4 linked regions of the Struthio camelus genome follow. The protein of the gene in region 4 interacts with the protein of the main gene of each other region in a pairwise test. Links are inferred from orthologs where the notes say so. Each region holds a gene or a part of one and is shown on either strand. Other genes may lie near its edges.

What was found.
Region 1: the proteins of UBAC1 (region 4) and TRIM2 interact in binary tests that used the Homo sapiens proteins (3 or more experiments, as listed by UniProt). The link is inferred for Struthio camelus from reciprocal best matches to the Homo sapiens genes UBAC1 and TRIM2.
Region 2: the proteins of UBAC1 (region 4) and RNF216 interact in binary tests that used the Homo sapiens proteins (3 or more experiments, as listed by UniProt). The link is inferred for Struthio camelus from reciprocal best matches to the Homo sapiens genes UBAC1 and RNF216.
Region 3: the proteins of UBAC1 (region 4) and CPSF6 interact in a two-hybrid assay, tested with the Homo sapiens proteins (2 studies listed by BioGRID and IntAct). The link is inferred for Struthio camelus from reciprocal best matches to the Homo sapiens genes UBAC1 and CPSF6.

What each region holds. Positions count from the first base shown.
Region 1 is NC_090945.1:38,644,153-38,651,337, reverse strand, and holds the start of TRIM2 (tripartite motif-containing protein 2), read right to left. Parts: upstream 3,001-7,185; 5' UTR 2,837-3,000; intron 2,831-2,836; exon of another isoform or gene 2,302-2,830; intron 128-2,301; exon of another isoform or gene 62-127; intron 1-61. UniProt on the Homo sapiens protein: UBE2D1-dependent E3 ubiquitin-protein ligase that mediates the ubiquitination of NEFL and of phosphorylated BCL2L11. Plays a neuroprotective function. May play a role in neuronal rapid ischemic tolerance.
Region 2 is NC_090956.1:4,718,920-4,726,875, reverse strand, and holds the start of RNF216 (E3 ubiquitin-protein ligase RNF216), read right to left. Parts: upstream 3,014-7,956; 5' UTR 2,990-3,013; intron 2,929-2,989; exon of another isoform or gene 2,791-2,928; intron 1,793-2,790; exon of another isoform or gene 1,740-1,792; intron 1-1,739.
Region 3 is NC_090942.1:40,603,159-40,610,659, reverse strand, and holds the start of CPSF6 (cleavage and polyadenylation specificity factor subunit 6), read right to left. Parts: upstream 3,005-7,501; 5' UTR 2,942-3,004; coding exon 2,882-2,941; intron 1-2,881. UniProt on the Homo sapiens protein: Component of the cleavage factor Im (CFIm) complex that functions as an activator of the pre-mRNA 3'-end cleavage and polyadenylation processing required for the maturation of pre-mRNA into functional mRNAs.
Region 4 is NC_090961.1:3,270,544-3,278,236, forward strand, and holds the start of UBAC1 (ubiquitin-associated domain-containing protein 1), read right to left. Parts: upstream 3,006-7,693; 5' UTR 2,906-3,005; coding exon 2,768-2,905; intron 1-2,767.

The sequences.
Region 1 (7,185 bases), on a different chromosome or scaffold from region 4:
GGAAAGAAGGAAGGAAGGATTAATTTCTGCAAGATGTTTATGGGAATTTGTCCTTACCTACCTCATTTGATTCATAATTCTTCTTGTAAGGAATTAGGAGAGAGAAGGAGTGATCCCAGAATATTGACTGGAAAGAAAAGACCAACAGAGATACTTAGTCTTTTCTATGTCTACAGAAAAAGAAAGCGGTCAAGGAACGTGAGGCTCTCAGTTTTGAAGAGTCAGGTGGTGAGGAGGGTCCCCTAGGAATAGGGGTGAAGGACATTAAAACACAGATGGAAAGTGTATTTCCTTGTAGAGAGAGAGAACTTGAAGCGACACAGAACTCCTGTCCTGAAAGGGAAGGGAAAAAAAAAAAAGAAACAAACACTGGAAAGGACTATATTCCTTTTCAGTACCTTAGTAAATGATGATGGATTTGGTCTTGCTGTTGACAGATCTACAGGGGGTACCTGTGTTGGCAGTGTACCTTGCATTTTGCACTTTGGGAAATACTAACAATTTTCTTAACTACAGCCAGTTCCTAACTGGCCAGTCAGGACTGGACTGGTGCATAGACTGGTATTCCCCTTCTTAGTCTACAGGTGAGGTCAACCTCAAGGTAAAAAGATTTTACCTGATCAACCATGTACACTGCCCAGCTTTCCTCAGCCCGAGGTAAAGGATCGGGCAGTTTCGCACCTCCTCAAAATATTTACGAGCGTGGAGGGGAAACAAAGCAGGCAATCACAGTTTCAGTGATCTAATTCTGTGCTGTTTACCAGGGTATACAGCTATCTGTGGGATGGATGCTGACACACCAGCAAGCATGGGAATGCTCAGGGTTCAGCACCTTCGAAGAAAGTTACAAAGCCTTAAAGCACAGAGCAGCAAGCGAGGCTCCAGCTCAGAGCTGCAGCACCAAGAGCTGCAGGGGTTCTTTAACATTCAGCAAGGATTTGCCTAAAAAGTCAGTGCGTATGCTGTCAGAATCTCACCATCCTTCAGCCTGTCAGTGAACTTTGCCTAGGCTTCATCCAGATCAATTTATAATCAGGCATAAAAGATTTGAGAGGAAAACTAGTATACGATGCAAAGTGCAACAGAAAAGGCAAAAAGCTGCTTTTTTTTTTTTGACATCTGTAAGAAAGATCCCTGAGCAGATTTTAAATAAAATACCTCTGAAATTTTTCAGTTTATGTCCCAAATCTTCCCAGGAGAACTTCTGAAAGGATTCAGGGCACGTATGAATGATTTCTCTACGTTTTAGGGACTTATGTAGGGGCTTTCAATGTTTAATCCAGGCAAGCAGTGGATTAACTGCTTTCAGCTGAGAGTCTGCCAGCTGACAACCTTTCCCTGCACACATGGCATTTGATGTCTGCCATTTTAATATTTTGACATTTTTGTGAAAGACATCGTCCTGAAAGGTCACCACTTGTCTGAGCAGTTGGCTGGCTGCCATTCAGCCTTGGGAAGCTTAGCTTCACCAGCTGCCATCAAAAATGACCATTTTCATAGCTAAGTTTCAGGGAAGCTATGAATTTCTGTTTGTCTATGAGGAAAAAAGGAGATACAAGAGGAAGAGCAGCCGCCCCAAACCACCTTTCAGTTGTTGCAATGAAGACCCATTTCTATGTAAACATCTGTAAGATGAGAATGAAGTTTTGCAAAAGTGGCTTCTAAACAACAGATTGGTCAAATATACCTGTGTTGTAACAGCGGTATCAAGGGGGTTATACCACAAGTATGTTGAGCCCTGTACTTGCAGCAACAAATACAACATAAATAGTTGCTTCCAAATCAGTTCATGACAGTCACCTGTTAACTGTGATAATGGCATTTTCACATGCCTCATAAAACGCTTGCAGTACCATCACGGTCCCCAAGAAATAACAAATCCTGTAAATAAAGCAAGAAATGTGACACAGCAACTCAAACAAATTGGCTACAGCCTCCATTTCTTGTGCAATTATCTGACATTTGCACTCGGTACTGATTACAGAGTGTTTCCAATAAGCACATTTCATTCACAGCATAATAAGAGCTCACCAGCTATAAACTCAGTAAGACAATGGCACTACAGAAGTTTTGAATTAGAAAGAAGGCTCTAAAAATCAAGATCCTGTTTCTACAGTGCCATGAGACTAAAAAACAGTAACAAATACCAATTCTCTTCTGTACGGTATCATCGCAACACTGAGAAGCCTGCCACTCCACTGCTTTCTGACCACCATACTATCCTGCCTTCATGCCATAGAGCAGATAAAGATCCTCTTCATGTACAGAGTGAGAGACTGGTGAAAAACATGCATCGCTCACCGTGCTATGTTCATTGTTCTTATCAGCTCAGATGCAGGCTTACTGGTCCCCCTTAGGATGACATTTTGTTTGTGCTTCTAATCATAAGGTACTGTCGAGTTTCTTAATTAGAAGTCCAGTTCTGCGTTTATGGATTTTTCAAGAAAAGATTCCAGGTGAAAAAAACACGGTAGATTTCTCTCCTGTGTGTTCACAAGCAGTCTATTAATGCTGAAGGAGCTTTCTCACTGTGTATCTCGTATTATCTAAACGGAAAACCATCTATCTAGAAACGCTCCCTGCATTTGCTTGACTTCTCCCCTCGCAGACGAAGCGGCAAACAGACATCCCAAAAATCAGCGAACACAACTGCAAACTATTTGTTTGTATGCCTTTCTCTCAGTAGCTCTTGCACTGAAAGCCAAAACAGTACTGCAGAGCAGCACTCCCTGCGAGAACGAGTTCAGCTTTCATCTCTCCGCCGTCTCAGCCAGAACACTGAGGTAGAAACCTTAATTAGCAATCTGAAAGCAGCACATAGGCAAGGAATACTTACATTTGCAATGTGTTTGTGATATTTGCTCGCTGATCCAGTGACTGCTGATTACAAAGAGAAAGAGCTTTTTAGGCTGCCTTTCAAGCCTAGTAGCAGTGAAAAGGAGGCTGTCGTCTGAAAGCTACTCGTTTTCTATATGCTGTGCTCTACTTGCTTCCCATGTGCATACAACACAGCTGCCAGATTTAATAACCATGTCAGCCTACTTTCCCCATAAAGCTGCAGAGAGATGACAGAATAAAGATGAAGTAGCCAGCACATTAATCTGTAGTTATGGCCGCACTAAGCCTTGAATGAATGTCACAGTTTTATTGCCCTTGAAGAAAAAAATAAATCAACACTATTTGTCTGTTGAAGGAACTATGCAAAAGGATTTCAGAAATGTTTATTCATACTTGCCCCAGTGACATTTTAATACATTAAAGAAATTGCTCATTTATTCCTCAGTTAAAAAATCCTAAATCTCAAGTTAATTCTCTTTTTAGTACCTCCTCATCTTTCAGCATACATTTTTCCTGGGAGTGTATACTTGTACCCAAAAAGAACAAAACCATTAACTGACAAATTAATCAAGATTCACTCCTTCCCCGTTCCGCTCGGGAAGGAAGCATTTCCATACCTGCCTTTGCTGATTTCTTTCGGGGGGGGGGGGAAAAAAAGTTTAAAATGGGGAAAACTCTCATTTACCATTTCAATTGTCCCAAGCACAGTGGTTCCTAGAGCACTGGAGTTCAGTATTTGCTGTGGTCAGGCTCAGTTCACTGCCAAGGTAGAGCTTTTCCATACCTCCAGCTGCAAAACCAGCTCCATGTGAGGGAAGTAAGAGCAAAGTTTACATGACAGGAGGATGGTGCTGGTCACACAATCAAAAACTACAAACTGAAAATAAACCCAGAAACGTACAGTCGAATTTGTAACAATGTAGGGATGCCACAGAGATCATATAACATCTGTGCGTGTCTTTTCGCTCTCATTTATATTCCCTTCACTTCCCTTGGAGGCACCTGCCTCAGCGGGGAGCCGTTTCTGTGGAAACTACGGACAGGCCGTTTTCCCCCTGAGAAACCGTTCCTATGGCAACCTTACATAATGTATATGGCCTAGATTCTTTTCTAAAATAATGTAACGCCACAATTCTAATTACAAAATCAAGAGCTGATCTGATTTGGGGACAAGAAGTGCAGTTATTTTAAAACTGTATTAGAAAGGTAGGATAAAACCCCCAAATGTTACTACTAATTAAGTAATAGCTTAGGGGGCACTGCCACTGCATCACTCATAAAGACAAAATAATCTGTAAATTCCAGTCAACTAAGTCTATTACTTAGCATTTGTGGGAAGTGAGGAGGAAGGGAGACATTTAGTTGACATTATGGCTCAATGTAGCAATCAATACTGCATATTAAAGTGCAGAGGGTTTTTTCCCATGTATTTATTCTCCCAGCAACAAGGATCTCACTTAATGACATAAACCCACATGCGGCACACATCTACCCCATTCAAAACTGAAATGTCAGCTTCAAAGTCACTCATTAGCAAACTGTGCAACCTTAAAATGTGAGGAAGTGCCTGAAAGGAGCTGTACGAGTCAGTGAGGCACAGAATGCAGCGGAGCAGAAACAGCAAAGGCACATTGCTGTTCACATGACTTTCTTCTCAGCTCAGAGGAGACAAACCTGCCCGCATCCACTGTGGGGATCTACCAGATCATATTTGGAAGAAGGGACAGTTAGAGCCCTGGTCATGGCGTTGTGCAGCCTGGGGGTGGGGGGTTGCCTTGAAGTCAGCAGCTGAAGACCTGCCTGGGTTGGATTTGACATGAAATGGTAGTCACATAACAAATGTTTAGTGACCCTTGTGAAATGGGTAGGCAGATGTCTTCCCTTCCAGCCTGCCCTGCAGACAGTCCCCTTATTGGTAGTACGAATCAAAAGTCTAATAGTGTGGAAGGCTGAGCTACCTACTTACATCTGCACAAAATCAAGTGATTTCAGTTTGAAGAATGGTGTTGGGGAAACTCGAGTAAAAACCTGCTTCTGAGGTATCTATGCTGTGACTCAGTGGATAAAGATCTCTCCTGATCTGTCAATCTAGCAAATTTTATTGGAATAAAATATATTAATATATATGGAGTCTGATTTTTCTCCTCTACTCCTATACAGAAGATGAACAGAGAAGAACACTCTGCCCACAGAACATTTCCTCAACACTTAGGCAAAGTCTTCGTGAACTCCACTGTGCAGCAGGGCTCTCCAGATCGGACAAGGCAGGCCGGAAGCACTGCCTCAAAACCTACAGTGCTTATGTTCCTTTCCTGTGTAGTGGAGACACTTTTACAAAGGAGACTTATGCTCTCTGAAGGCAAAGGGTTATTTAGGATGCTGCTTCTCAGAGCTGGTGCTCAAGAACCAAGACCAAGGTTTCACAACAAGCTGCTGGTGCCACAAGCGACAGAACAAGGGATGTTCCATAATCCAAAATCCCCCAAAGGGGTTTTCCTGTATTGGGGAAAGTTTGAGCTTTAAATTAAACAAGAAAATCCCTCTACAAATTGCACTGAATACCCAAAGTGATCTATAAAGTAAGTCTATTTAGACAAACAAGCAGATCAGTACATCTTGAATTGGTCCTTTTTGTCTGCAAAACTCAAGTGTTCCAAGAGGATGTGAAAGCATCAAACATTTTATCTCTTTTACACTTTAAAACAAGGAGATCTGGTGCACGGTGTTAACTCCAATTGGATTTGAGAAAGTTCACCACCACCAGCGCACCCTCTATACCTTCGAGGACTGGAACTTTTATGATTTAATCAAACATCACACACCAAGTCAAAGGTTACACAGGAGTCAGACGTCCCTGACTTCAGATCTTTGAACCACAACTCTCATGTTCTATCCACTGGACATACAAAACACAGCGTATCACTAATAATCTTTTGCCTTCTCAAACTAAACAATGGAAATTAGAAAACATTTTCAATAACATTTCTATATCCACTTTGAAATGAACCTTATATACACAATTACACTATAATTAGACAATGTCTAATGAAATACATACTTAGTAGCCTTAGGAAGAGAAAAGCAGGAATATTCCTATAAATTATATTCCATATAATATTCCAAGAAAAGCAGGAAAAGTTTTCTTGAGGAGATCAGAAAGAGCTGAGCTGTCACTAAAACTTGTGTAGTTCTGATAGTTTTCCTAGGTAAAACCTTGAACTTCAAAGAGTACATTGCGCAAAGACAGCAACAGGGACAAATTGATAAATTAATATTATAACAAGAGAAGGTAAAGAAATGAAGTTAATAATTTACTAACAAATAGAAAGAAAGATATGCCATAGAGTGAGAAAATTCAGCTACTTTTTATAGCTGTACCAACTCTCCCAACATGGTTTATCAGCTTGAGCACAGCAAAAGCTGACATAGCTGCATGGCTTCTGGACCGAGCTAAGTAACATCTAGCCAGCTCAGCATGGAACCAGCTTCAACTTGAATTCATCTCCATTTACGTCTGTAAATATATTCCATGTATTCAGTTCATAGGCACTTTCTGCTTCCTCAAGCATAGAATAGGCTGTTTGGGCATCAGGCTGAGGAGTGGCCATCTCACTAGGTATCAGTATATCTCCAGTAAGAGATGGCCGGCCTTAGTCCCTGCACTTAGGATCTTGCCCAAGTTCAGCCAAGGAGATAGTCATTACGGGGATTAAAACTAATCTGATTTCATCTAGCCTAGAACACAGGAAACAGATCAAAGGTGGATTTCTGCCTTGGTTTCTCATGGCTTTCAATTTCATTTAACTCTCCCCACTGCAGGCCTGCCTACTTCTTTCCTTGTTTTAGAAGCAGAAATCATTGCCAAGGCTCTGGCAGCCAGGCCCAAAAATAGTGACAAATAGTGTAAGCTGATCTGGCAGGCTTCATTGAAGGCAAATTAAACACTGACAGTCCCCAAGGTTTTTGTGATATGATTGCATGACATGGCCAATGAACTAGTCACTCCCTAGGGTGAGGTGCAGAGATGATGTTCAAATGCCTGGAGAGTGGAACATAGACTGTTTTATGAAATTACACATTATTACAATGTGACATGCAAAGCATTATCTCTATGCAAGGTGCTTCACCTCAGATAAACCCTGTGAGTAGCTAAATACAAGTCGTCTTATTCCTAAGAGGGCTGCATGATGTAGAAAAATAGAGAGACCTGCATAAGGCCAAAGTGGGAACTTAAATCGTTCAGCCCTGAACTCAGGACTTCATCTTTTTTCTTATGCAATGTCCATAGCTCTCATCTTATTTAAAATTATTTTTTGCAAGACTTATTTGAGAATGGCCCTCCATTTA
Region 2 (7,956 bases), on a different chromosome or scaffold from region 4:
AAGATGTCTAGAGTATCAAAAGGCCCAGTGCAAGGCTGTGAAACTTTGCACAGTGTTGGTGCTAGAGATGAAAAACTCAGATTAAAGCTGTAAATCATGCAGTTCTGTAACTAAAGCTGTCCCTGCAAGTCTACTAGTCCTAAAGAAATAAGGTCCCACTGTGCAGTTAGCACTGTACACTCCTATGGTATGGTACCTGGGAACCTGTACAGCAACGTACCAGAGAGCTTAAGATTTGCATCTTCAGAGCAACGGGACTCAGACACATCCCCCCCTCACCTACCAAACAGGTCGTGGGGAGAAAAGCTCTTACTCCACTCTCAATCAGGTAGCACAAGGCAGGAGGCGGCCACTTTCTAAGCAAGTGTGTAAAGTCTAGTCTAGTCACCTTGCGGGGGACACCTGCTTTCCCTTCCAGTGCTACTGCTGGAAGCCTTCTGCAGTGGCTCCAAGGATGTATCTATCTAGATGGCAGAAATCATATGACAAAAAAATCATCATAAGAAAGATTAGAGAAAAGCAAGGAAACAATTGCCTACTCATAGGTTTTAGCATTAAGACTACCTGTCCCTTTAGCTACCAAGGCAGTTAGTCATTGCTTTTTGGCTTGCTGGCTGAAATAAAGAAAAAAAAAAAAAATCAATCTGCTGTCTTGTATTAAAGGCAATAGGTTTAAAGAGAGACACAAGAAGAGCCCCTGTGAAAGGGGCATAAAAATTGAGTTACACTCCTACAGCACTCAGCCTTACGCTTCAATAACAAAAATAAGTGTACAGCAGCAATAGTATTACAAATTAAAAAAAAAAATCAGAGATTGCAAATCAGTGATTGAATCACAATATTTCATTTAAGGAATTGAACTTGGCTTGAAAAGCATTAAGAAAGATGACGAGAAATTTTGACTTTTTTTGTATGACAGCTGTTTCTGCTTAAGTATCTTTCAAAAAGTTTAATTAAGATATTAGAAGAAATTAAAAGATAATGCTTTATGTCTTCATGCAAGATGAAAAGAAAACTATTCAAGCCAGATGTAAGTACAAATGGCAGTTACCTGATCAACTGCCACACAGGGATTCAAATAGAGAGTTCAGAGTCGCAGAGCCAGCAGATCTGCGAGATGATTATTGTTTTAGGCTATTTTTTCAATTCCAAATGAACAAGGACCACTACATTGATTAGCTCGCACTGATTTCTTCATAAGCATGCTAAAAGTTAGCTAAAACTCTTAAATCTCAGAGTGCTTCAGTGCTGCATGTTTCATGAAAATATGCAAACCTTCCTCCAGTCATTTGCTGGAACAAGTGTAATTCCAAAGGCAGAAACACAGATCAGAGATTTTTATTATATAAACGCTGTGTATATTAGCACTTCCCATGTTTGCTCTCTCACCACGCTGAGCTAGCGTTCAAATCAATAGAGAGAGAAACAGAGGAAGAGAGCGAAGGAGGAGTATCTCTTACACAGACAGATCCCTCAACTCTGAGGACAGCTGTGTTTTGGGTTTCTTTCTTGCAGTAGCTCCCACAGCAGATGCCTGAAATGTCAAGATGTCCAAATGGCACCAAGTGTTTCCGTAACAAGACATGAGGTCAGAGGAGAAGAGCAAGCTTATATCCATATTTTCTGATCAGCTCTAGAGCCCACTCATTTTTCCCTTTTTAAACAAAAATACACAGGGTAACATACGTGAAAGGAGCGGATCGAGAGAGCATATGAACGCAAGCACAGGAAAACGTTACCTTGGTCCTTTCCGCTGTGGGGGCAAAGCTGCCGACACGAGCGTAGCAGGCAGCTGTTAATCAACAAGCCACACTCAGAGCAGGCCCCTGAGCAGGGACCGGAGCCCGCAGCCCCCAGCACAGGTACCTGGCCAGGAGGGGAGCCTCGGAGAGGGGCTGCAACCCACCCCCAGCCCCCTCACCCTGCTCGGGCTGACTGTCCAGCAGGACCAGGTCCCCCAACAGGGCAGGGAGAAGCCAGGGGAGGCAGGGGTGACACAAGGGACCCCAGGGCCTCATGGAGGTGGGGTAGGGGAGGGGCAACACAAGGGACCCCAGGGCCTCACAGGGGCAGGAGAGGTGACACAAGAGTCCCCAGGGCCTTGCTGGCAGGGGGGACACAGAAGGGACCCCGGGTCCCCACAGGGGGGTGACACAAGAGACCCTAGGGCCTCATCAGCAGGGGGACAACACAGAAGGGACCTCAGGCCCCCAAGGGGGGGGGACAACACAAGGGTCTCCGGGGCCCCATGTGGGGGGGAGGAACAGAAGGGTCCCCGGGGGCTCATTGGCAGGGGGGGTGACACAAGGGTCCCTAAGGCCCCATGGGGGTGGGGTGGGGTGACACAAGGGTCCCCGGGGCCTCATCAGCAGGAGGGGACACAGAAGGGTCCCCGGGGCCCCAGCGGGGTGTGTGTGTGTGTGTGGGGGGGGGTGACACAAGGGTCCCCGGGGCCCCACGGGTGGGTGGGGGGGGATGACACAAGGGACGCCTCTAACTCCCCGGGGGCGAGGGCACAGGGGCTCAGCTACCTCACGGGCGGAGAGCGGAAGCATGGGGGGGGGGGGGTCTGACCGACGGACCGGGCCGAGGGGTCGCGGGTAGCGGCCCCGGAGCCCCCGCCCAAGGTCAGAGGGGAGGCGGGAGCCCCCGAGCACCCGGCAACGCGCCCCTCCCTCCCCCCCCCCGCCGCGCTTCCTTCCCCCCTCCTCCTTCCTCCGCCAGGCAGGCAGGCAGGCGCGGGCCGGAGGAAAGGGGGGGGGGCGGCGCGGCCCCGCAGCCGGTACTCACCGGGCCGGGCCGGGTCGCGCCGCTCCGCCCCGCCCGACCCCCGCTTCATTTAGCCGCCGCTGCCCGGCTCCTTCCGGCCTGCGCGCGCCACGTGACCGCGCCGCCCCGCACCATAGAGAAGAGGCCGGGAGAGCGGAGGGGGGAGGAGAACGGCGAGAGAAAGAAGGCGGCTGGAGCGGTCCCGTCGCGGCAAACCTACCATAGAGGCGGTGCGGCGGTCCTCCAAGCGGCCTTGCTCCGCCCCCCTTCCGTCCTTTAAATGGTTTCGAGGGAAGGGGCGGGGCCTGGAAGGAAGGGGCGGGGCGAGGAAAGGGGCGGGGCGAGGGGCGGTACGTGCTTCGCTAGGGGAGGGGGCAGGCGTGTGTTCTGCCGAGGGGGGGCAGGTGTCCTATGGGGGGGGGGGGGGAGTAGGTCCCCTATGGGGGTGCTGTGCCAAGGGGGGGTGCAGGTGCCCTATGGGAGCGCGGGTGCCCTATGGGGGTGCTGTGCCAAGGGGGTGCAGGTGCCCTATGGGAGCGCGGGTGCCCTATGGGGGTGCTGTGCCAAGGGGGGGGTGCAGGTGCCCTATGGGAGCGCGGGTGCCCTATGGGGGTGCTGTGCCAAGGGGGTGCAGGTGCCCTATGGGGGTGCTGTGCCAAGGGGGGGGTGCAGGTGCCCTATGGGAGCGCGGGTGCCCTATGGGGGTGCTGTGCCAAGGAGGGGTGCAGGTGCCCTATGGGAGCGCGGGTGCCCTATGGGGGTGCTGTGCCAAGGGGGTGCAGGTGCCCTATGGGAGCGCGGGTGCCCTATGGGGGTGCTGTGCCAAGGGGGGGGTGCAGGTGCCCTATGGGAGCGCGGGTGCCCTATGGGGGTGCTGTGCCAAGGGGGTGCAGGTGCCCTATGGGAGCGCGGGTGCCCTATGGGGGTGCTGTGCCAAGGGGGTGCAGGTGCCCTATGGGAGCGCGGGTGCCCTATGGGGGTGCTGTGCCAAGGAGGGGTGCAGGTGCTCTATGGGAGCGCGGGTGCCCTATGGGGGTGCTGTGCCAAGGAGGGGTGCAGGTGCCCTATGGGGGTGCTGTGCCAAGGGGGGGGTGCAGGTGCCCTATGGGAGCGCGGGTGCCCTATGGGGGTGCTGTGCCAAGGAGGGGTGCAGGTGCCCTATGGGAGCGCGGGTGCCCTATGGGGGTGCTGTGCCAAGGGGGTGCAGGTGCCCTATGGGAGCGCGGGTGCCCTATGGGGGTGCTGTGCCAAGGGGGGGGTGCAGGTGCCCTATGGGAGCGCGGGTGCCCTATGGGGGTGCTGTGCCAAGGGGGTGCAGGTGCCCTATGGGAGCGCGGGTGCCCTATGGGGGTGCTGTGCCAAGGGGGTGCAGGTGCCCTATGGGAGCGCGGGTGCCCTATGGGGGTGCTGTGCCAAGGAGGGGTGCAGGTGCTCTATGGGAGCGCGGGTGCCCTATGGGGGTGCTGTGCCAAGGAGGGGTGCAGGTGCCCTATGGGGGTGCTGTGCCAAGGGGGGGGTGCAGGTGCCCTATGGGAGCTCCCTGGTGGGGGGGGTGCAGAACCCCTCCGGAGCACCCCGCGGAGGCGGCCCGGCTGGGACAGACTGCACCGGCCGGGGCAATAAACGCGGCGACGGCTGGCGCGTCGGGCCGCCCTGCGGCACCCTGCCTGGCACCCGCCGCCTCGCCGAGCCCCTTCCCAAGAGGCTGAATGAAGCTGAGCCGATTTTGCAACACACCCCGTTTCTGAGCCAGAAGAGGGTCCCTGTCATTGCTGGCAACCACGGGCGGCACGCGAGCGCGCCCAAGCGCGAAGGGGCGCGATGGAGCCGGCGCTTCGCGGCGGGGCTCACGCGACGCCCGCGCCGGCCGCTTTCGGTCTGGCCGCGAGCACAGCGACGCAGAGCGCCAGGCAGCGACCTCGGCCGAGGAGGGAGATGTTTGCACGCGTTAATCGCTGAACGGGAGTTATTAGTCACGGCCTGTATTCCCCTCTGCCGCGGGAGGCCGGGACGTGGAGAGCTGCCGAGGGCTGAGAAGGGGCACAAAAGGACGAGAAAAGATGCAAAGGGGCGAGAAGGGGCACCAGGGCATGAGAGGGATGCAAAGCGGTAAGAAGAGACAGAAAGGGACCAGAAGAGACAAAAACAGGACAAGACAAGACGCCAAATGACAAGAAGAGCTGCAAAAGGAGAAGAGGAGAGGCCGAAGCACCAGCCGGCCCCGCCGGGCGGCTGCCCCGGCTCCAAGGAGCGTCGACTCGCCCCGAGCCAGCCGCGGCCAGGGCCCTGCAGCCGTCATCGCTTTGCCCGGGACTCATCCGGCACAAATTCCCGCGTGGCGTTTTGCGGTGACACTGCACGGAGTCCCCTCCTGAGGGTGACGCGGGGCAGCCCGGCCCCGGCGCTCGCAGCCCTCGGCGTGTGGGCGGCAGAGCATCCCCGGGGCTGGAGACGCGCATGGCCGTGTCGTGCCCGGCGCCGAGCGCTGTCGTTAGTCCCGGCGCGCTCGTGGTGCGAGTCGGTGCTGGGGGAGGCATCGCCCACCCGACGGGCCGGCACGGTGCCCTTTGGGGCATCATGCGCCGCGCCGGCTCGGTAACCACAAGATGGGGCTGCGAGATCAGCGTCGCCGGACGCGTCGGCCGGATGCAACGCAGGCGGGAATCGCATCGCTGGATGTGTCGTCCCGGTGCAAAGCAGGCGGGAGGTGCAACACTGGACATGTTGTCCTTGTGCAATGCAGGCGGGAAGTGCAACGCTGGACGTGTCGTCCTTGTGCAACACAGGCGGGAATCGCATCGCTGGACGTGTCGTCCTTGTGCAACGCAGGCGGGAATCGCATCGCTGGACATGTCCCAGTGCAAAGCAGGCAGGAAGTGCAACGCTGGACGTGTCGTCCCGGTGCAACGCAGGCGGGAATTGCATCGCTGGACATGTTGTCCCAGTGCAACACAGGCAGGAAGTGCAATGCTGGACGTGTTGTCCCGGTGCAACGCAGGCGGGAATCGCAACACTGGATGTGTCGTCCTTGTGCAACGCAGGCGGGAATTGCATTGCTGGACATGTCGTCCCGGTGCAACGCAGGCGGGAATTGCAGCTACGGGGGCCAGCGCGGGGTGCAGCCGGACATTGGGGTGATTGGAGAGCAGGAGAGGAGGGTCGGGCACGCAGTGCGGCTTCTCCCTTGGCTGCACGGGCACGTACGCCACGCTCACCTTATCTGCAAAGCCCCAAATGCTTGAGCCCCGTTCAGCCCCCGCGCAGGCACCCACGGGCCATTTCAGAGCCAGGCCAACGGAGCAGGGACGGCGGCGGGAGGCAGCGCCGGGGACGGAGCCGGCTGGCGAGCCCCAGCCCCGGGCGCTACGCGGGCGCAGGCAGCAGCTCCGGTGCCGCAGGGTTTCGGCTGCGGTGGCGCGGGACCTCCGCCTGACCCTGCGGCAAGGCACGCGGCGAAGCGCCTCGTCTGCCGCCGGAGCCGGACTTGCCCGATCTGGCCGTATTTCTGGTGCTTCCGGCCATTTCTGGAGAACGGAAAACACATTAACTGCCTGAAATCAGGGTCCAGTCATTGCAGCCGTGGGATGCGCCACCTCCTTCCCTCTTTTTACATGCAGCACCAGCCCACCCGCCCCCAGCGAAACGCTGCTCATTTGCGTGTTGCTCTGTACGTGCCTCTAATTAGTCCCAAAGCCCTGCGAGCCGCCAGCTGTGATGGCACCCCAGCTGTGCTCGGTGCTGCACGGCCACCGCGGGACTCCCCAGCTCCGAGCGACGGGGCCAGGAGCCCCCGCGGCCGCCGCTTGCCCCTGGCCACCCGGCTTTGCTGCAGGGCAGAAGAGGGATGAGGGGAGGATGGGGCCGTGCTGCTGGGGCCCAGCGTGGGACCGGGCAGTGAGCAACCAGACTTCTGCGTCCTGCCCGGCTGCTGCTGCTGCCATGGCTGCTGCTGCTGGGAATTCCTGGTGATTTCTGGGGATGCTGGATCTAGAACTTTTCTAGGTGCTTCCCAGATCTAGAACCCTCCTAGGGTAGCTTCGCTCTAGAGCCTGGCTAGGACTTAATTCCTGGCATGCACTAGTGTTCCTAAACCAAGCACTTTTATAGGAAACCCCAGATCTAGAACCTTTGCTCAGGAACTCCTGCAACTAGAACATGTCTAGGCAATTCCAAGGTCCTCTTTGCTCTAGAGTACTTCCAGGATTCCCCAGCACCAGAACACTTTCAGAAAGGCTCAGACCTAGAACAGTTCTAGGTTCATTGGTCTAGAGCAGTCCTAGCTGCCCTGATCTAGCATGATTCTAGGCTCGCTGATCTAGAATGGTCATAAACTCATCGTCCCAGAACATTGTCAGGATTTCCCAGATCTGGAACAGTTTCCATGACTTCCACTGCTCTAGAACCCTTCTAGGAATTTCCAAACCAGGAGCATTCCCCGGATCCTCAGTCTAGAACCTTCTCAAGACCCCCGCCCCCCTGATTTAGACTGTACCAACCCAGAACCATTCTTGACTCACTGGCACGAAATGATTCTAGACTCCCTGGTCTAGAGCAGTTCTGGACTCAACAGCCCAGAATCTAGACTGCTTCCCAGTTCGCCAGTCCAGACCTGTTCTAGACTAATTGGCCTAGACCAGTTCTAGGTCCAGCAATCTAGAACCCTACCAAGATGTCCTCAGTCTTGAACCTTTCCAAGAATTTTGCTACACTATAACCTTTCCACAAATCCCACCGCGCTAGAATCCTAAATGTAGTGCTCCACTCTAGAACCCTTCCAGGAATTCCACATGTACACCCCCCCCTCCCCAAATCTAGAATGTTTCCAGGATCTTCCCTGCTTTAGAACCTCCCTCCAAACACCCTTTCTGGAACAGATCTAGACCTCCTGCAGATTCCACACCCCCCACTCCAGATCTAGAACACCTCCAGAGGCCTCCCCAGATCGAGAGCCTTTCCAGGGAACACATGTACACACACACACACACACACACACGTTCCATCCCACCACCTCCATCAGGAACCTCCTTGGGTTCCCCCGCTCAAGACCCCAGCAGAATTAAAGGAGGGAGGCCGGAAGCACCCTCTGCAGAGCCTCCTGCCAGACCGATGCCCACCGCCGGGAGGTGGCACCCGCCAGACCCGCACCCCCGTCCCCCCAGGAGCTCCTGGAGCTGCCAGAGCAGCAAT
Region 3 (7,501 bases), on a different chromosome or scaffold from region 4:
TAATAAATAAATAAATAAAATCCGTAGGAGCCAAATTGATTAAGAGCTGTAAACATAAGGATAAAGAATATACATATGATGAACGGCAAGTTGATGAAAGGTGAAAGGCAACATAGGCATGTAGTTTTGATGAGCACCAGATGGAATGGAAAGGATGTGCTTTCACTAAAGGAAAAAGATTTGACTTCAAGTTGCGCCAGCCAGATCACGGTAACCAGCACCAATACCACCCTCGTCAGTTCTCACGTTCATCCAGTTTAGCCAGCTGGTAAACCTGGGGCTCTCTGGTCTGTATTTCACCCTTCTTACCTGTGACTCATATAGCAATAATCAAGCGGAACATCCCTTCTCCTAGAAGGATGCCTATAAAAATCCCAGAAGAGACCCAAGAGGAGCATCTTGATGCCCAGAACAGGACAAAGCAATGGAGGGAAACTCATCCAATCACAAGTCCTTACAGACCTATTTGAAACACCACGGATGTAAGGAAAAGTTTTTTCCTGGCCTGGGTAAAAATACAGTTATTCTGCACTTCAGAAGAATGACAAAGCCAGAATAGTGTATTTTCAGTCCCTGCTACTGGCAAAACTAGTGGAAATGGTTCCTGTAGACCAACTCAAATGAGTATTCATGAATCAAATTAACCTAGCACCACCCAATCCAAGAACAATCGTTTACTGCTTTACACATATAGCAAGCTTTCTTTACAAATACAGCACCCTGTAAAACGTTTGCTATGTAAACAGATTAATAATGCTAATCACTTTCTCCCTACAGCATTAGTCAACTCTCTGTCTTATCAATTTAAGCTGTAAGGTTCAAATCAAAAATCACCAGAAACAGTTTTTAAAAAGACCCATCACAACAATGTCAGAATTAGAGGCAGCAAGCAATACTGTACAAAGCAACAATCAGCCTTCCTTCATGCTTGACAGAACAAAACGGGGAAAGTGCAGAGGTGTCAATGTCTCCCACTATCGCTTTCTATTTTAAAGTAATACTGTTCAACCGAGCAGGTCCGAGACAACATGCAAGTCATGAAAATCAAACTTTGAAAAGACTAAGCAGCAAAATCTTGCAAATAAAAGAGAGACGCTAAGGGAAAAGGGGCACCAATTCCTTCTTATTCTTCTGCTCTGTGTTCTGCCAGAGTCACAAACAGGGGAAGTAACAGTGCAGAAACACAGCCCCAGCAGGAAGGCAACAGGGGTGGGTGCAGCAAAAAGACCAAAAGGTGTTCCTGACTGCTGCATCAGCTAGACTATCACTAGACTCTCTTCATCTGTAAAATCATCCTCCCTAGTAACACAGCTACAGAGAATGTCAAAATCAGCCAGTATCTGAGCAGACCAGGAGAACGTTGTTATATTGCACGAAACAGAATATCCCCATCAGTTTTGCTCTGGCAGTATCTATCTGCACTATACTCGCAGCCATAAATTATTCAACTTTGAGGGCTTCTGCACTCGTGAATTTACACCAGCACTACTGGATTCAATTAATTGTTCTGAATTACTTAATTAGCTATCAATATCCTACTTGGAACTGATAAAAAAAAGTTAATAAAGAAACTGAACAGATGTACTCTTACGATAAAATGGTATTTGTGCTTGGGTTACCCTAATTTAGTTTCATATAATGAACTTTCAATTGTAAGAGTGAAATCTTCACCTCTAGACAATCTAAGAGCAAACTAAGAGAATAATTCAGTTCTCTCCCTTGTCTGCTCATCTGATCCAACATTCCTAAATGGTATACCTTTGTGAGACTGCTAATCTTCTGAATTACTTTATCAATAAATACCTAAAGAATTCAAGTTTCCTGAGACACTTATGAGTTGCTATCCAAATTAACTGCGACTTCCACAACCTATTGTCTCTCAGTTCTCTGTAGGGCAGGCAGGCAGGCAGAGCGCTGGGCCTCACTCAGTAAGCCTGGTAAATCTGTGGAAGCAAAGCCGTGCTTGGTTATTTACGTTCTAGGGCAGGAACAACGCAATCTGGGGCAACACAACCTAGAGAAGTGGCATGGTTGCAAACACGACAGATGGCACGCAAATCTGATTCAAACATCAGATTTCAGCGGGAAAGTAGGAATGTTACTTTTTGGGAGAGATACGAGGAAAAAAGGAAGCAGAGGAATCGGCTACTTGTAAGCCAGGGAAGTCCTGTTTATTCCAACACCACTTCCTCACCAAAAGGGAGCTCCTCCTGTAGAGGAGGGAAGTAATGTCTTTTCTAAGGAGCAGGCGAGAAGAAAGAGTGAAAAGAAGACAGTTTCTCCTCTCCTGCGTAATAGAGCCGCAGTAGTTCAACCTCCCCCGCAAAGAGCGGCCGAGAAACGGCTCCCGCACGGCGACTTCTTTTTTTTTTTTTCTTTTAAAAACTCATGGGCGAACAATGGCAGTATTTCCCCTCCGCCGCCGGGAGGGAGCCACTCTCCCCACCACATCCGGGAGGGTCCCGTCTCTGACGGCCTCCTCCTCTTGCGGCGGGAGCGGGATTTTGCTCCGCTGCTGCGCGGCCACTGGCGGAGGGAGGGCGGGAAGGCAGCCGCTCCCTCCCTCCCTCCATGCTCGGCGCCCGCTTCCCCTCCGAGACGGCGGCGCGGCCCTGCCTTCCCCTGCTGTCCCCGCCGCGGGCCGGGCCCGAAACGCGGCCTGGCCGCGGCGCCGGCCGAGCCCCATCCGCGCGGCGCGGCGAGGGGCACAGCGACGGCGCCATCGGGCCCGGCCGCCGCGGCAAAGCCTCAGCGCGGAGCCGGCCGAACAATGGCGCCGCCAGGCCCGACCCGGCCCGGCCCGGCCCCACCGCGGCGCCGAGGGCCCTGCAGGCGGCGCGGCGCGGAGCGGAGGGGAGGGGCCCGGCGCGGCCGCGCGTACCTGGTTGAACTCCTCTCCCACATCGGCGTAGATGTCGATGTGGTCCACGCCGTCCGCCATGATCCCGCCCGCCGCGCCGCGCCTCGGGCCGCCGCCAGCCGCGCCCGGCTCCCGAGCCGCCGCCGCCGCCGCCGCCGCCGCCAGGGGGGGAGGGCACGGCAGCACGCGTCACTTCCGCCAGGGGCGGGGAGGGGACGGGAGGGACTTCCGGCCGCCGCAGAAGTGGCGGCGGCCGTTGGGGCCGGGGCGGCGGCCGTTGGGGCCGGGGCCGGGGCGGCGGGGGGGGGAGCGGCGCTGCCCGTCCTGCCGGCCCCCCGCCACTGGGCGCCCGCCGGGTTTTCCTGTTGCGGCCGGCGGCGGAAGAACGGTGATGTTACCGCACCCAAGCTGACGTGGCTGGGGCGGAATTAAAACAAGGTGAAACCATAGCTGCAAGCAGTAAAGATGCTTCAGTGGTAATTTCGGGCTGCTCCGGAAGGTCTTTCCCCGTGCCTGGGGCTGCTTGGCGGCGGCTGGGCCGGGGTTGCGTGTTGCAGCCCGGCCTGACTTCCCGCCTCGGGTGCGTGCCGCCCCCCTGGAAGGAAAGGCGGACGGACCAGCAAAGAGCGGAAACAGCAGAGGACCGCGGCAAGCGGGTCTGCTGGGGCACCTAGGAGCTGCTGAAGGGCTAGTCCCGGGGGTTCTTATCCAGCTCGTGGCACGTTAAACTATACGAGGGACAGGCCTCTGGTATCATTCCTGATGTCAGTGACTCGGGAAGGCAGACGCCTTCAGGCAGGGAGTCTGCTCGCAAACGCACTGGGAGTTTCCTGGTTATAGAGGAACTAGCAGGTCCGTTAGCCTTTGCAAGAGCGGAGGTATCAGCTGAAGAAACATGTTAGAGAGGGTAGTTAAACAAACAAACCCCCCTGCCTGAACTTTTAGTGCTGTTTCCCAACTGATAATCGCAAATTTAAAAAATTAAATTAAAAAAAAAAATCTAAATACCAGTTCACGTCTACGACTGTATAGGTCATGTGTGGATGAAATGATCCATTGGTTTTGCAAGGAAGATTGGCTTTTCCTCTGGATTTGTCACTGTGCATACAGATACTATTACAGCATTGAAATCTAAAAGGGTTCACAGATTTGCTTCATGATGAAATGATTTAGTGACTATGGCACTTAATAGTTTTGCCCATCTGGCTGTGCTGCACAAAGTTACTGAGGTCAAGACAACTTACCCCTTGCTGTCCTAATGATCGGATAAGAATTCATAGGAGACACTAGGCTGTGTGCAGTTGGGTGTTTTATATGCATCTGGGTATCTTAGGAAAGTTATGCATAGATTGTAATGATGTTTAATAAAAGGGCAAAGAAATTAAATATGAATGGGGAAGTCATTCCGCTCACCTCAGAAACCACCTGAGGGATCAGTAGCATTGGAAGGACCCTGTCAGGAGTCTTTGAAGAGGCAGGAAAAGACTTTGCCTCTTCTTTGCTCTGTAAGATAAGGAAGGGTCATCACTGAGACCCGTAGGGCCCTCTATGCTGTGTTCTGGGTTCAAGAGGCATTACCACCTTGGAGCTTTTCTAAACAGTTGCACTGGCTGGATTTATTGCATGCAGACCTCTACAGAATATACTGTGATTATTTTTATTCTTGCATACATATCATTAAGCAAATTCTGTAAACAGTGTAGGAGACTGTAAACATTATGCAAGCTGTTCTATTTACTTTCTGCTGTGTTTTCATTTTCTTCATGAGCAGACTCACTAAATATGTCTTCAACTTTCTTGTGGTCAGCAATAGCATCTTTGTGAATTATTATCTCTCCATGGAGCAACTTAACAATTGATCAACTCTGATGAAAATGTTAATGCTTTCTATTTTGTATACATCAAAATTATGTATACCATTCACTGCCTCCTCCCAGTAAAATTCAAAAGACTGAGGCAGAGAATGGGCTGAAAAAGAAATGTAATTATGAAAGAATATTTGTGGTGCAGCGTGGTCTGGGACAAGAGCCCTCATAAGCTTTGTTTGGGACAGTAAAAGCCATGGAATAGGAAGTAATTGCACAATTTCCAAAGCCGGAGGGTAACATGAGAGCAAATGGTGGCAGATAAGCTAATGTCTTGCTCAAGTTCCTCTTTCACACCATCGGATACTCTTCCATCTCCAGCTCTTGCTAGATATCAAAAGCAGGAGGAAGCCAGGACGCTGGCGACTATACCTGGGAAAGTGGTCTATACTTTAAGCTCATGTTTCACATTGATCCACAAGAGCCTGTTCATTTGTATGTTGTTTCACTGGTCTCTTCTGTTGTAATGACAGAAAGTATAATCCTGATCTTGAATACAGAAGCAACTGTGGGTGCTCTGAACCTCATGAAGCATGCACTGCTAGCCCACAAGCCTCTCTGTGCTTGCCTCTCTGAGGCCTTTCAGTGCCTCTTCTACTAGTATGTTAACAGCTGCAAGACGGAGGGGAGGAGAATGCTTTCCCCTCATCTTTGTTTGTATGTCATTACTTCAAAATACCTTTAAACGTCGGGCTTCAGGTAAAAGTGGCAGAACCAGCTTCAATATAATCCCAATTTTGAAAATATTCTATTTTTTCTACCATGAACACAGCAAAAATATATTTTTAAATTAAAAAAATAAATATATGTTAGAAATTTCCCTGAGGAGTGAAGACGAAGAATGATAAAGGAACTTTCCAACACACTTTTCATCTTAGTATCAGACTAAGCTGCTCACGCAGTAATGTTACAGACAACAAAGTGAAAAGATGAGAAATGATTCCAGAAAGTGCTGTGTAATCAGGATAGTGCTCAAAAGCAGCTTACTTGAGATCTACCTGTATGTGGTGTTGTATAAACTTACGTCCTAGCTTTGTTAGTCCCATTGCATTGAATATATGTTTTGTTTGTTTAGTCGTAGCCCTGAAGCTTTCGATCTTGCCAAAGCTGCCTGGAGCCACTGGGCATGCTCTTTTATTGTTTTTCTCCCAATAAAAGTATCCAAATGGTAAAAGTCTGTGCATTCCAAACTGTAAGAAATTGTCTCTTCCACTGAAGTGCCTTAGCACATAAAACTGCTCAGACAGCAGAGTGAGGAAGAAGCATGTCCCAAATGAGGTGGCAAATAGGCACAACTCCTTGCTTGTGTCCTTGTTTTAGAAGGCTGAAATTTCATGTTATGTTAACGCTAATGTAATTGCAGGTTGACAAGGAAAGGGATCATCATGTTCTCATTCCAAAAGAGGTAGTGGCACAGCCTGTGCAGGGAAAGGGGCAGTAAATACCTCCTCTTCTGGCTGCAGCCCACGGTTAGATTGGGTTAAGTGTAGCATGAAACTAAATCCTAAGAGCATCTGCAAGACCTCCTACTGACTCAACTGTGTAGGAAAGTATTTGTATAACTCATTTCTTGCCCAGGTTCCTCTTTTTGTAGGTATTCAATTGTTTTGGGCTCATGCACATAAGTATAGAGTTCCATCTCTTTTTTTTTTCCTACTTTTTCCTTCTTTTCTTTTGTCCGTCAGTCTACTCGTTCTGTTGGTTCAGCTCTTCACTCAGTGATTCGGAGGCGGGTTGAAAATTGCAGGGAATCAGGAGCTGATTCACTAATAGTGTGGATTTCCCAACCCTCAAGGCAGGAAGGTAAGTACAGAGCAAGGGATGGTAATAACTTCAATTGTCCAATTTGAATCCACTGCCTTATAAGCCATTAATCGGAAGGCTCAGTTGGCTCGAGAAAACTATGAAATCAAATTTTCAGCTTTAGATCACTCACTGTTTATTTGGATAGCTTCACTTTCTATTTGTTTAAAAACCTCTCTCCTTAACTTTATTTTTACCCTTACGTTCAGCACTAACCTGTTCTTTGCAATACCTTTCTGCAATTAATCTCCTCTTCTAAATTGGCTGAAACCTGTTAAATACGTTAAATGCATTAAACAGATCCTTCTTTGAATGCGCTATATGCATATGCAAACAAAGGAAAAGCACTATCTAAACTACTTTCAGATGTTGTTGATTTTTCAAAGTATTTGAGCTCTGGCGTAACTTAACTGCATAGGGTTTTGTGCATTTTTCTTTTTTTGATTTCTGTTTACTTCTGTTATCAAGAATTATTCTGAATTTGAAAAAAAGTCTTCACGATTCACTCATGCATTGCAACTGCCTCAGCGTTTTGGAGCACAGGCCGACACAACGCTGTTCCCCAGGCTTCTTCTCTTTACAGCTCAACTATTTAGAAGTCCAGACAAGACAACCCACAATGGTCGGGTTTGTTTTTGAAAATTATACACTTCCAGATTTCAGGAATGGCAATTTCAATAGTTACTATGCCATAAATAAGCAGAATTAAGTCTGGAACTAGAAGGTAACACGTTACTCAAACAACATGCCAACCCGTCTGACACTGGTCCTCAGCTACATCTACACAGCTCTGCTAGATTGCTCTGCTAGATCCCAGAAAGGCTCCTGAGCTGGAGCACTTTGTCTGCATCCAAATTATAAGCCTTTAAGCCATTTCTTCTGCGTCTTTTTTGCTACAATGCCTGTCACAAAAGCTGTTGCCACAACTCTGGAAAGACTCTTCCAGCGTTTTCACACCCTTGATTTGCATGCG
Region 4 (7,693 bases):
GCCAAGCAAATCATAGGTAAAACTTACACACACAGAGCCCACACTTGTCCATCCTTAAGCACGTGATTACAGTTTACACTAGTATTTCTGAAATACTGCTGAGTGTCAGCAAGAAGCAATGATCCCTTGTAATCAGAGTATTAGAATCAGGACTTTCTGCAGCACTTTCAGCCAAAGCAGTGTTATACTTGAAACGTCAGTCTGGGGCACAAGAATTATGGATCATGAAAACAGACAAATTATGCCTGAGTTTCTGTGGTTAAACTGAACTTTCCCAGTTCTGGGTCCCAGATGAACGGTTTCTTTTTAAAGAAACCTCATGAAACCTTGGGGCCCGATTGTGCCAGCGGGGCTGCACAAGGAGCTCCTGCTGAGGCAGTGGGGCTTTGCGCAGGGACAAGTCACTGTTCCGAAAGAACATTTTAATGGTAAAACTTCAATTCAAAATAAGTAGGAAAGGAAATAGTTTATTACCAAGTATTTTTTCCACAGTCTAAATAATATTAGTGAAAGTAGCAGTTTAATGGTGCGTCATCATCACTAAATCGTTACAGGCCAACAGATAAAACTAGGGGAAGCTTTTTGCTTGATCTAGGAGCAAAAAACATTACATTTAAAGGGGAAAAAAGAGACATCAAAAATGACTCTTCAGAGATTAGCAAACATTTGAATGTTATAGAGGAAGAAAGAGGGCCCACCTTCCTAATTCAAAACTGGACACCCTGGTGAATGCCATCTTCCTTAGCTTCCTGAAAGAACAATTTCAATAACTTTCGGGATTATATTAATCAGCATGAGAGGTGGCTGCATAAGTTATCTCAAGGCATTATCAAGATTCATTGCAACATGCCTATGATCACCAAGTACTAGACATTTTTCCATTTCTACTTTCCCTCTCCATAAAACGATATATTATCCATAATGGTTATGCAAATCCACACCATTAGCATAAAGAAGCAGAGAGATGAAATCAAACATCACCACCAAGTTATCAATTGTCTTCTGCCCTGACTCACATTGCATGCGTCTATTCAATTAAGCTTCTTGAGAATTAAAGGTCTTCAGCTCTGCACATATGCGTGTAATCATTACTCCACCCTATTTTGGCAGTCTTGCACCACTCTTCTGCTTAATCACTCAGCTGTGCGGAAGGAGGACCAGACAGTAGCACCAGAGCTCTTCCGAGAACACGGACAAGACAGAGGGCCCTTCACCCGTTCTCTTCAGCAAGGCACCCTCATTTTGCCTCAAAAAGGTCACACCTACCTCAGGTACAGCAAACCCAAATGCAGCCATTCTCATCTCTAAATCAAAAGGCACCTCTGCAGACTGTGGATCAAGACAGAACAATGTGCGCCATGACCTGTAGTTTCCAGAGGTTCTAGTTAAAAAACTAACTGTAAGGCACACTGCAGAGGGCACTTGGGCTGCTGTCCATCCTTACTTTACAACCTGCTCATCAGAGAGCAAAGCAACCTAAATAGCTTACCACAACCTAAGTTACTTCAAGCTGTGGTTAGCTAATTACATAGCACAGGTTTGTTCTCATACTGTAATTGTGTTTTACTACGAGGAACAACATTCCTTAACACCTCTGTAACGCTTTGAAGATGAAAACCCTTTTACTCCATGCAGTCCTTTTCAGAGGGGGGAGTAGAGGTTCTGGCCTCTTTCACCTGAAAGTTAAATGAGCTCCACTAGGTCTCTCAGTAAAAATTTCAGCAGCTTTTGACTCAAGCTGTCAAGCCGCGTTGTCCCGGTCCCAGAATGCCAGTCTTTAGAACAGTCCTGGTCATGGATCACCATCTTATACACTTCTTGTCAATCATGTCTCTGCTTTAAAATAAAACACAATTATGGCAGATCTTCGAAGTTCAACCCAACAGTTTTGTAGCCACCGGTTTCAGTGTTTAACACCCCCAAACACACAAGCAAGTAACAGAACAAATGAATACAAAGAACCTCTGTTTTCCAGCTGAATTTCTACAGAACGCAGCTGTATATTTTTTACATATTTTCTCTTCCAGACAATGATTAGTAACTTACTCTCTGAACATGCCCATTAAGACCTTAATCCTTAGAGCGCCGGGAGAGTATTAGTCTATTAACTCCCCACTGAAACCCACACTAGTTACTGTGCCAACATAGGGTAAGGCTGTACTAGGAATTTTTTCAAAAAAAGGACAGTTCTCCACCAGTTACTACTTTCCTTGTTTGTTCCTGAAAAATAAACTAGAAACAAAACATGTTCTAGTCTCTGATGGGAAATCATAAGAAGCCAGTTCCAGTTATCTCCCGCAACGCACGGTCACCAGCACGTCAACCGCTTAAGATGCACGCAGGAGTTGGCTACCTTTACTGCTACTGCCACACGCTTGCGGGATTCTATAACTAAAGGTTGCAATCAGTTTCCATCAAAATTCACCCTTTTCCAACACATACAGCTCTTGAAGCAGGCATTCACTTTCTATATGGAAGTGTTTCACACAGCCGGGGGGAGGGGGAAGGAGCGAGTAGCAGATATGGCAGACCAGGAGCTGAAACACAGAAACACTCGTTTGTTTTTGCTATTTAAGAGATTTTTAGACAAATCTGTTTTCCCTCACAAAATAGCGCTTGCTCACCCCTCCTGGCGGCTAGGACTTTCTCTCCCAGCTCGGGAACACAAGCGTTACAGAGAGCACCAGGATCTCGGCACAGGCTCCCCCCCAGGCGGCCCCGGCGCCCTGCGGCAGCGGTGAGGGCCGGGGCAGCCACGGCTCCTTACGTGCTTGAGGCAGCGCTCCTTGAGCTTCTCCACCGTGGTGTCCTCCGAGACCTCCTCCAGCCACTCGGCGCCCTCCACGGTGCACACATGGAGCCTCAGCACCTTCCCGGCGAAGATCTTCTCCTCCTGCACGAACATGGCCCCGGGCCCCGCCGCCGCCGCGCAGGCCCCGCGCCCCGCGCTACCGCCCGCCCATGAAGGTGACCCCCCGGGAGGCCGGCGGGGAGCCCGGCCGGGCCCCGCTGGGACAGAGGCAGCGCGCTGGGCGCCCCCGGCGCTGCTGCTGCTGCTGCTGCTGCCGCCGCCCGCGGCGCTCGGCCCCGGCCCGGCCGCGGCTCCTGTCACCGCCTCGGCACCGGCGCTCCCGCGGGCGGGCCGGCCGGGGCGCTCCGCCGCGGCCGGAAGCGGAAGGGGCGGTGACGCCGCCGCCGCGCGGCACGCCGGGAGTTGTAGTTTTCTGCCTCGCCGCTCGGAGGGCGGGGCAACAAAGGCTGCGCCGGAAGTGAAGGCCGCAACGGGCTCGGGGGCCGGAAGGGGGGGTTCCTCTGAGACGTGCTTTTTTTTTTTGGTTTGTTTGTTTCTTTCCGCTGTTTAGTCATTCTTGCCGAGCGCGCCCGGTATGTGGCGGCTCGGCCTATTTCTAAAAAAAAAAAAAAAAAGTGGGAGGTGCGGTCCGTCCCGCCGCCGCAGGGCACGCCGGGAGCTGTAGTCCGCTTGCCGCGGTGCACGCCGGGAGCTGTAGTCCGCGTGCCGCGGTGCACGCCGGGAGCTGTAGTGCGGGCGGGCCGGGGCCCGGCGGCGGGGTGGGCGGACGAAATTCTCCGTTCGGCCTTTAGAGGGAGACAATGAACTGTGTTTAGGGCCGGGGGGCCGGGGCGGGGGGGGGGGGGGGGACCGACGAATTCCTCACGGCATGTGGGTTTTTTGTTTTTAAGGACAAAAACGCCGTTTCCCTGCCGCTGGTGGCCGGGTTAGGGCAGGGATGGGACGAGGGAGGCGGCTGGGCCTCGCCGCTGGGGCCTGCGCCCCCCACCCCGGGCCTCGGGCCTGGTCCCTGCCCGGGGAAGGGCAGCTCGCCCCAGGGGCCTCCAAACCGGCAGGCGCTCCTGTCCGCGCGCTGCTGGCGCCCGTGCACGGAGGGACCCGAAGGGCGTTCGGGCCCGTACACGGCTACGTCCCATCCTGCTGCCCCCCTCTAATGAGGGTCTTCTACGTCCAGGCCCAAGAGGCCCGTCCAGGCTCGCTGCCGTACCCCGGGCCCTTCCGCGGGTTCGTGGGCGCAGAAGGGCGCCGGCGCGCCATTTTCCTGGGAATATGTGCTGATGTTCAAGACTAATTGGTAGCAAAGTGCCGGTCACAAGCTTTCCACCCACTTACTGAGTCAATATATATATATATTGGTTTGCTTTGCCTTCCCAGATTACTGCCTGCAGCCCGAGAGTCTGATTTTTCATGTTCAATGTACTGTTAAAAGGAGCCTGAAGTGAAAAAAGGGCATTGCAGATATAGCTGCTGTTTATTTATGTATGTATTAAACAGGGCTGTACTTGGCTGGAAAATATGAGGAATATGTCATCGTTTCATCTCTGAGAGTGAGCGCTGTAATATTCATGTTACACACTCAGCCTGGAGTTGGTTGAAAGGCAGATAAAGCTCCCTGGGAGAAATAAATCCAGACAAAATCAGAAGACCCAGAGACATTAGCAGCAATACAGCGTTACGCGAAATGGAACTGAGAGCTCCGGAGAATTAAAATTTGATCACCCCAAAAAGCAGATTTAGCTTGGGTCATCACCAAAGAAGTAAGTGCTACTCAAGCCCCGACCCACGGCGGCTGCTCGGAGATGCCCGCTTATACCCTGCAACGTCGGCGACTGCTAGCCGTCATCCTGGAGAGCCTCACGCGCGGTTCCCCGACAGGAAGGCAGCTCGTCCCTTCCTGCAAACCTCACTGGCGTGCCGCAGCCCTTGCAGCTCCTTGGGCGCCAGCTCCGAGGGACCACGAGAAGGAGCACATTCCCCCTTGGCGAACCTCTTGCCCCCACCCATCGACGCCGGGAGAGCCTGGCAGCGATGGCCCTTGTGATGGTGCCCTCGCCGGGCCAGTCCCTCACCGTGCCGGTGCCCCCCGCCGCAGCGCTGGAGCAACCATGATCTCTGTGGCCAGCCCTCGGGGCAGTCCCGCGGCCGCCCAGGGACACCACGTCCCAGGCGGTGGCCTTCCCGGTGACGCTGAGCTCCGGCTGCTCACCCACCGCGCGGCTGCTCTGCAGTCCTTGCAAGATCCGCTGCGGCTGCCAGAAAGAGGCCGAGCTCCCCGCAGCAGCCGTCAGGCTCGTTTTCATTCTCATTGCTGGCGTTAGCTGTTCAGTGGGGCTTTTACTGCTTCACTGGGGGAGCCGAAAGGCTGCCTGCCAACTCGGGAAGGCGACGCTCTGTGACCCCGGCAGCCGGCGTCCCTGGGGGGAAGAGCAACAATAACGTTTTGTTAGGAGATATTTTAAAACAGCAAAGAAACACTCAGGTGATTTCCAAGGCAGGCTGAATTCAGCTGTGAGCTCTTAGTGCGTGGAGGATGCATGGATGTTACATAGCCATAAAGCAGGCTCTTGGCAGTCCTTACTGCAAGTGGAAGCAATATTTGGAGATGAATCTGGAACTGCTGCAGAAAAAAAAGAGATTTCTCCTGGACGGCCGTATCTTGCATCTAAACAGTACTTACCTAACACAAGTGGAATACTTTATTTTTGTGCTTTCAGTGCGGCTCCTGTGTGCTTGATAAAATGTACCCATAAAACTGCAAATACAAGGCAATTTGACTACTGATGGCTAATGCATCATAACGGCTAAGGAAATGTGGGCATTAAAAAATATCCCATTTAAACGCAGGGCATTACCTGCTTTACTTGCACTATAGCAGAATAAATAAACAATGCATGTTTGTTATGTTAATATTGTCCAAAGCCAAAAGAATGAGTGCACAATGTGTTACTGGCTTTTCATGACTGATACATTATGCCCAGAGACCAATGTGTGAATGAGAGAAGGTGGAAATCAACATCTCTTTTCTTCTGAGAAATGGCTTCTATTGTTTTATGCCTCCAGTTGAATTATTTTATGTGATTGCATCTAGCAGCAGGTATCTCCTGGATTACTGAGAACAATGCAAGTCCCACTGCAAAACTCCCACTGATTTAATGATTGCAGGCCTTGGCCTGAGGGCTGCTCTGCATTTACAGTGGGGAAAGCAGACTGGCTAGAGGGGGGCACGAAGCTCAGTCCAAACCCCTTTGCAGCGTGCAAGCCTTGCTGGGTTGTGCCCTAGCTGGGGGGCAGAGGAACCGAAGAGGAGATGTCGGGGAGCAGGCTGCAGCTCCTCGAATGCTCGGTACAAATCAGAGCAGTTTTGGGGCTACTCTCACCCCTGCAAGCTGCCTGTGGCCCTCTAGGGAGGTCGCACATCCAAGGACTCCTCCGCAAGCGGCTGTGCTCCGGCTGTGCCTTCTCCTGGGCCCCGTTTCTTCTATTGCAAGTCCTTCAAGGAGCTTGTTCCAGCCCAGCTAGCGCTGGAGGAGCAAGGATCCTCCAGCTCAGGGAAGGCTCCACCAGGAACCTTTGAACAAACCCATAATCTCTTTTGAATTGTCTGAGAGTGGGAGGAATGAAAGGGAGTGGAGATTACCCCCTCCCCCTCCGCCTTTGCCTGGGCACTCTCAGGATTTATCGAGACAGCTCCTGGGGGATGCTACATCATGTCATCCAAGACTCTGGTATTGACTCTTCTCCTGCTGCTGCTGAGTGAAGAAATATGATAGTGGGAAGGATAATGAAGCAGACGTGTTTTCTTCAAACCAAAGTGATTCTTTCTTAAGATGGGATAAAAGGGTAAAGAACTTTCCCTTCACAATATTTTTCTCGGTAATGTGTTTTGACAATTTAATTTAGAAGTCATAGAGTAGCGAAGACAAAGTCACCTGGTGGGTGGACATTGGAGAGTTCAGTTGCCTTTGTGATGAATTGGTGATAGTACAGAGATGACAAAACAACACAGGGGGACAAGGAGGAGGCTGGCAGCACTGTCGGCAACATGCACAGGATAAATTGAACACTACACTTCATCCAGGATCTTCAATAGTCCCAGGCATCCCAATATAATTTATGAATTGCAATTAGCATTTTATTACGGCTAGCACTTGAGCTGTGTACCTATCGCTTTGGGTCAGCTTTTGCAGAAGTTACAAGGTAAAGTTTGTGTAAATTTAAAATACCTATTCATTTAAATTGAAGCAATAAATATGTCCTGGAAGTTGCTTTCCTGCTGCTCGGCTGCAGAGGTTAAGAGTGTGAATTCCTTGCAGAGGCTCCCCCGGGCACAGGGGAGCGCTGGACCACGTCGTGCTTCTCCTTCCCCCGGCTCCGGGCAGCGCGGGCCTGCGGCCGTCTTGCGTTCGGCAAGCTGTTCCACGGGCGCCGGGGCACCCTGCGCGGTGCTGCTAGGAGAGCAGCCAAGGGAAGCAACAGGATCCGTCTGCGCCCAGCAGCTCCAGCCTGGGATGTTCGCAGGGCCGCGAGGGCACCGGGCTCGTGGCCGATTCCCGACTGCGGGCGCGTGCTCATCTGTGTCCGATTTAACTCCCGAGCCGCTCCGAGAGCCCCCTGACTGTGCTCCAAATTACTCCGTCAGCTGTTATAAATATAGACAGCGTTTTGCGGGGATATTCATGCAATTCTATCAGTGCTTACCCCGGCTGGTAATGGCCCTGTTTAAGCACGGGCTCTATACGGGGCTTGCCAGCCTCTCCAAACGCGAGTCTATTATCTCGCTTAACTGCTCTATCAGTGCGGCGCTGGGCTCTCCGCCGCAGCTCCCCATGGCCAGGGACGGTATTAGGTGCCGCTACCTGCGAGCGTTCAAAAGAAAGTCCC